Linked DNA regions of Danio rerio. The protein of the gene in region 1 purifies or fractionates together with the protein of each later gene. This does not show direct contact. Links are inferred from orthologs where the notes say so. Each region holds a gene or a part of one and is shown on either strand. Other genes may lie near its edges.

Region 1 (3,655 bases):
AGCTCCAACAACCTGCATCACAAAAACATGCAGCACCATAATACATGCATCTACACATTAATAATTAACTCCACATAAGAATATGTTTTTATATATTTATTTCACTATTACCAAATACTGTTAATATATTGAAATGATTAGAGCTGTAATGAAAAATCCTTAGAGATATCATTATTGATTATGAGCTTAGTTTTACCAGCAGGTGGTGCTGTACGCTTCACAAACAGCTGTAGTCTGCTTGCATGCAAATCTTTAAAAATACTACTCAAAGCTAAAATAATAATTAATAAAGTTAGGAAAGATTTAAGAAAAAATAAGCTTGCCTAGTGTGCCATCTGTGGTTAAAAAACTAGCCTGACTAGCCTAGAGCGCCATCTGTGGTGTAAAAAAAACTAGCCCTCCATATGTGGTTAAAAACTAGCGTAGAGTGCCATCTGTGGTAAAAAAAATTGCCTAGAGCACCGCCTGTGGTTAAAAAGACTAGCCCTCTATCTGTTATTAAAAAACTAGCCTAGAGCACTGTCTGTGGTTTAAAAATTAGCCTAGAGCACTGTCTGTGGTTAAAAAAAACTAGCCTAGAGCACTGTCTGTGGTTAAAAACAAAACACTAGCCTAGCCTAGAGCACCGTCTGTGGTTAGAAACAAAACACTAGCCTAGCCTAGAGCACCGTCTGTGGTTAAAAACAAAACACTAGCCTAGCCTAGAGCACCGTCTGTGGTTAAAAACAAAACACTAGCCTAGCCTAGAGCACCGTCTGTGGTTAAAAACAAAACACTAGCCTAGCCTAGAGCACCGTCTGTGGTTAAAAACAAAACACTAGCCTAAAGCACTGTTTGTGGTTTAAAAACTAGCCTAGTGCTTTGTCTGTGGTTAAAAAAACTAGCCTAGCCTAGAGCACTGTCTGTGGTTAAAAACAAAACACTAGCCTAGAGCACTGTCTGTGGTTAAAAACAAAACACTAGCCTAGCCTAGAGCACCGTCTGTGGTTAAAAACAAAACACTAGCCTAGCCTAGAGCTTCGTCTGTGGTTAAAAACAAAACACTAGCCTAGCCTAAAGCACTGTTTGTGGTTTAAAAACTAGCCTAGTGCTTTGTCTGTGGTTAAAAAAACTAGCCTAGCCTAGAGCACTGTCTGTGGTTAAAAACAAAACACTAGCCTAGCCTAGATCACTGTCTGTGGTTAAAAACAACTCAATAGCCTAGAGCACTGTCTGTGGTTAAAAACAAAACACTAGCCTAGCCTAGAGCACCGTCTGTGGTTAAAAACAAAACACTAGCCTAGCCTAGAGCACCGTCTGTGGTTAAAAACAAAACACTAGCCTAGCCTAAAGCACTGTTTGTGGTCTAAAAACTAGCCTAGTGCTTTGTCTGTGGTTAAAAAAAACTAGCCTAGCCTAGAGCACTGTCTGTGGTTAAAAACAAACCACACATAGCCTATAGCGCTGTCTGTTGTTGAGAAATAACGTAGAGCACCATCCGTGATTAAAAACTAGCCTAAAGCACCATCTCTGGTTTACAACTAGCCTAGAGCACCATGCTTGGTTAAAACAAGAGTGCTACCTGCTGTTAAAAAATTGCTCAAAATTAATTGAAGAAAGACTCATTTTGAGAATGTCAGAATTGATGCAGAATCGATTTCTTTGCCAATATGACTGTCAACAATGTCATCTGACTACATTTATCTCTTGCTCACAAAAGCTGTATTTATTTGATCAAGTACACGTCGTCAGTGAAATTTGTCATCAAATAAACAGCCTTGGTAAGCAAAAGAGACATTAAAATCATTAAATATCATAAGTTTTGACTCTCAGTGTAATCCAAACATAGTTTCTGTCTTCACAGTAGAATTAAAGTCAAGCTCAATAACACAGAGCTGCTTCTGAGATCTGGGACTCACCTGTTCTCCGGGTCAGGCATGGTGAGGTTTCGGCTGATGAAGCTCATTTTGAGCGGGATGACCTTTCTGTCTCGGCTGACGCTGCTCTTGGGGGATTCATCACTGCTGCTGAGGTTTGGAGACTGCAGACGGCCATCCCAGGACAAATCTGCACTCATGGAGGACTTCTTGAAGAGCGGAGACACTTCTCTGATGTACTTCACTGCACACACAGCACAAGTGGTCTTAAGCGGAGTCAAAACAGACCATCATTTTTAATGATTTGAATGAAGTGATAGTTCAACTAAAAATGTAAATTCACTCACTATTCACTCTGCCTCAAGTTTTTAGAAACCTTTATGAGTTTCTTTCACTGCTATTAAAGCACTATTAGCTTAGCATAGATCATTGAATCGGATTAGACCATTAGCATCTCACTCACATATTTTCCTATTTGAAGCCAGACTCTTTTGTAGTTACATCGTCTATTAAGACAAAAGGAAAATGAAAAGTGGCTATTCCCTCATTCTCGCTATAATAATCAAGGAAATTTGTTGCTGTATCACAGCTGCAGCAGGAGCAACGCTATTAGGTACTGCCCGAAAACCAACGTGATCAGCAACTTGCACATGTACCTTGCGAACATGGAGACATGTGTAAGATAATTGTGAACACATTTACTTTGGTGCAGATCTATTTGAAGCAAAATACATGAACGTTTGCTGCGATATATTGCACAACCCTACAGAACACAACACATCAAACCTTGAAGCTGATGAGCTACAGCAGCAGAAAAGAAGAGACTCGCTAAAAGTGGACACTAGGGCTCCGTTTACACTAATGCGTTTTCGTTTTAAAACGCATAAGTTTTGCTACGGTTACGCCATCCGCCCACACTACGGCGGAGTTCTCGAGCGGCAAAAACGGAGCGTTTTGAAAATGCTGGAGAGGCTGTTTTCATACTGACACACTGCTGCAATGTCTCGGTGTGGATGAGGAAAAACGGAGACATCTGAAAACGGAGGCGGGACCGCTGAGATTCGCTCCCTGATTGGGGCTTTTGTGTCATTAGCTGCGTCCCAAATCGCATACTTATGCACTATTCTACGCCATTTTGTAGTATAAATAGTGTAAGTAGTGTGTTCACACTGAAAACTCTTAAAATAATAAGTGCACTTTAATTACCCGGATGATGCCCTCATTCAGCCGCTAAAATGAAGTGTGGAATGATGGACACTTCACGCACTCAACGACCGCAGGTTTGCTTACGTATCGGAAGGGGCGGAGCTTTCGAGCGCACATGTTGGATAACTGTATTTATTTTGGATGGAGAAAGCAAAATTCTCCTACGAGAGTGATTATAGCGCCTCCCGATGGTGAATGCGGCAATACTCACGGCAGGTTTTATTTGATAATTCGTTCGTTTATTTCACTGATTTGGCAACCGTCAAACGTCATCAGGGAAACGGTTTGAATTTCCGTTTAGTAAAAAAACATTAGTGTGCCATTTGGGACAACACTACATACATGTACTATCCTGTTGAGTGTGTAAGTGCATAAGTACATAGTGCATGAGTGCATAGTGTATAGTGTGCCATTTGGGACGCAGCTATTGCGTATCCTTCCCTTATTCGTCAAGCCCCTATCACATGACTATAACACATGGCTTTAACGCTACCGGAAGACAGCAGACCAGCCTTCACTGTCATCAACAACATGGACACAGAAATGGGAGCGTTGTTTGCACTATTGTCTGTTTTAGGCGCCATTCTGCAGTT
Region 2 (3,755 bases), on another chromosome or scaffold:
TTTACTGAAGATAAATTTTACTGATTTATAAATATAATAAAGACTATACAGTAATATTTGACATTATATTATTAAATGTCTGTATCTGAATACTGTTTGACACTCCGGAAAACCATAAATAACTGTTTATTTAAATTTTTTCTTTACTCTATTGTAATTATTCTTGCAATTTAATACATGATTCACAGGCATCCAAAATCAACCAATCAATAATTCATTTATTTTATTTTGTTTACACAAATAGAGCTATTCAAGCCATCTCGTGAAACTGTATTCATATCGCAGCAAAACAAAATATCGAAATGACAGATTTGTTCAATATCATGCTGCCCTAATTACATTACACTATTTTATATTATATTACACTCTGGCTTTCAAGGCTACAGTGTGAATGTGAAAAAAATCCAAATAAAAGCAAAGTTTTAACTGTCAAATATCACATTTCACAGCAATAATGAAAAACAAATTCTCATATTTAAGTCTGCATCTATAAAAATATGTAAAAAGTAAAGAAAATGAGAAAATGGCGCTATGGTGGTGCAGTAGGTAGCACAACAGCCACACAGCAAGAAGATTGCTGGTTTGACCCCCGGCTCGATCAGTTGGCATACCTGTGTGGAGTTTGCATGTTCTCCCTGTATGTGTGAAAGTGTGTATAGGTGTTTCCCAGTGTTGGGTTGCAGCTAAAAGGGCATGGGCATCCGCTGTGTGAAACACATGCTGGATAAGTTCATTTCTCTGTGGCGACCCCAGAATAATGAAGGTACTAAGCCGAAAAGAAAATAAATGAAAAAAATAGGTACTCTCTTCATCAATCTAGCACAATTTTCAGTAAACTGTGAGAACCCCTTCGCAAACATGTCCAAACTTTTCAGCTTAACCCTGCCCCTTCTGATTGAGTCCCCACCCCCAACTCCCAGCTTGGTACTGGATACTAGTTGTGGTCAGCAAATTGTAGACCTGTATTTTCTGTATGTAAGATTGAACTAGTGTTTTTTTTTTTATTATTCATTTATTTATTTTGTTAAAAATATTCTTCAGTGTATTTGCTTATTGTTAAATGTTTATGTTGTCATTTTTGTATATTTTTGTAATGCGTTTTACAACATAAATACAACATTAAAAAAGTAAATAAAATACACAAATTATTAAATAGCAATTACATTGAATATTATAAACACACATACACATACATAATACTAATAATGCATTGCATTTAAGGCATTTATTATGTTATACTCACATCAAACAACTATTTATAATACTAAGGTAAAGTTTGCTTTATATTCCAAATATTTACATATTCAGACTTTGTCCTTAATAATATAATTTCAGAAAAATATTAGCAAATTCTGAATAGTGAAATCATATTAGCAGCCAATGACTGAAGTACAACATTGTTCAGTCAATTAAACAGTGCTGATGTTGTTGTGTGGTGATACTTAAATGCGATTTCAGAGCAAATATTCAAAGTAGCGTGGTAAACAATACAATGACCATTAAAATAAACAGATATGTGAATATGAAACCCACTTTACCTCAATATTATAATGGCTAGAACTCTCAGCACACGTAAAGTACAGGTATAGTGGTCAATACCAGTAACAACTACAAACGAACAAGACTGCAAGCACAAACCTGACATTTCTAGATAACACATGAAAGCCAGGTGACACGAAATTGGTTTATCCACCAAAACACAATCATTTGCAGAAACATCAACGCTGACAGCAGTAGAGGAAGCTATGCAAAAACAATAGTAGTGGATGGCATCTAACGTTACCTGCACGAACGCTCAAAGTACACTTCTCTCATCTCTCACACTCGCCACTCCCATTCCTCATTGCTCCAGCCTCAGACAACATGCAGTTTGTAAAGAGTTACGACTGAATCTAACTATCATGTGTTCAACAGCACAGCACTGCAGCACAACAGTCTGAATTTCACGCAATGACAACACTCGTCTGGCAGACAAACACACACACACAACGCAAAAGGCGCAGCTCGAGTCACAGATGGACATTCACCCGTGTGTCATTATCAAAGTGAGACTTACTTGCCAATGACCTCACACAGCTCGTAAACATCTTCAAAGAGCACGTCGTCGTCGGCCATGGTCCAACAAGAGCGGGGAATTTACACTCCCCCTCCAAAATCCGTCCAAATGGTAAATATCAGAGGATTACCGAGCAGACACTTCAGAGTACCTGGAATGAGCGCCGCGAAAGAAACGCTGACAGCCGATTGTATCGCTCTCCAAATTCCGATGAACGGCGAATGGTTGATTCCTGTCGGTTTTGGGTGGGAAAAATTATCCTTTGGTGGTTTGGTGGAAGCGAGCGGACAGTAGTGAGCGCTCGGTCCGTTTGACTCACCCTGCCCCACCTTCTCCTCCCTCTCTCTCGGCCCCCTTAATCCCGCCACTCGAGGCTGAGGTAATTCAAACGTTAAAAACAACTCCACGATAATCGCTGCCGAAGTCACGGAACCAAGTGGGTTAAGTCGTTTAGACGCTAAACTAACTAACTCGAGCCGGGGGAGAAGACGTGCACGCGGTTTGTTTGTGTGTTCAAACGCAAGCTGTTGTTAAAGTGCGCAGTTCAGTTGATTCCACTCATTCTAGCCACGCGCGGCTTCGGCTTTTCCCTGTGCGCGCTCACGCTGACTGTCCCTGCTCGCCGCCGTTGCTCTAGTTCCCCCTCATAACTCCAGCGCTGCTGCTCCCAGCTTCCAGAAAACCCAAACTCCTCCCACTCGCGCTTATGAAACTGGATTGCCTTACGCCATAATGGCTCCGACAGGACTTTCGTATTCCGGAATTCCCGCATAGACTGGCACGTGCGGTTGAGCCAAAATGACGACCAGGCGTCTCAGAGTTTGTTGGCTGAAGCGACAGTTTACCTAGATAAAAAGCGTATTGAACTGCGCTTGAAAATCTTTAGTTGACTTACTAGCTTGACTATATGTTTTTGTAGACATGTGTTTATGTAATAATAATAAAAAAATATTTGAAAAGTGGTTTGGGGAATAAAACATTATTGCACATAATTATTGGCAATACATACACATACTGTATAATAAAGCAGACAACATCATAGGTGAACATTCATTTCCACAATAATACGCCATAATATGATGTATTTAATATGAGTCTATACGAGATATCTTTAAGAGTAGCTATAATAAATATACACTAACAGGCCACTTTATTAGGTATACCTTACTAGTACCATGTTGGAGCCGCTTTTGCCTTCAGAATTGCCTTAATCCATTGTGGCATCGACTCAACAAGGTACTGGAAATATTCTTCAGAGATTTAGCTCAATATTGACATGATATCATCACGTAGTTGCTGCAGATTTGTTAGTTGCACATCTATGATGTGAATCTCCCGTTCCACCACATCCCCAAGGTGCTCTATTGGATTGAGTTCTGGTGACTGTGGAAATCACTTGAGAACAGTGAACTCATTGTCATGTTCAAAAAACCAGTTTGAGTGATTTACGCTTTATGACATGCCGTGCTATCCTGCTAGTAATAGCCATCAGAAGATGGGTACACTGTGGTCATGAAGGGATGGACATGGTCAGCAACAATAATCGGGTAGGCTGTGGCGTTGACACAATGCTCAATTGGTACTAATGGGCACAAAGTGTGCCAAGAAAATATCCCCCACACCATTACACCACAACCACCAGCCTGAACCGTTGCAGCAGAAATCGAGACTCATCAGACCAGGCAACGCTTTTCCAATC

The links.
Region 2: the proteins of sntb2 (region 1) and caska purify together in Homo sapiens (affinity purification with mass spectrometry; 3 studies listed by BioGRID and IntAct, with this or other methods). This does not show direct contact. The link is inferred for Danio rerio from reciprocal best matches to the Homo sapiens genes SNTB2 and CASK.

The regions. Positions count from the first base shown.
Region 1 is NC_133200.1:37,500,440-37,504,094, reverse strand, and holds part of sntb2 (beta-2-syntrophin), read right to left. Parts: exon of another isoform or gene 3,494-3,655; intron 2,950-3,493; exon of another isoform or gene 2,101-2,949; coding exon 1,899-2,100; intron 13-1,898; coding exon 1-12. UniProt on the Homo sapiens protein: Adapter protein that binds to and probably organizes the subcellular localization of a variety of membrane proteins. May link various receptors to the actin cytoskeleton and the dystrophin glycoprotein complex.
Region 2 is NC_133184.1:35,296,724-35,300,478, forward strand, and holds the start of caska (peripheral plasma membrane protein CASK), read right to left. Parts: upstream 2,662-3,755; 5' UTR 2,116-2,661; coding exon 2,057-2,115; intron 1-2,056. UniProt on the Homo sapiens protein: Multidomain scaffolding Mg(2+)-independent protein kinase that catalyzes the phosphotransfer from ATP to proteins such as NRXN1, and plays a role in synaptic transmembrane protein anchoring and ion channel trafficking.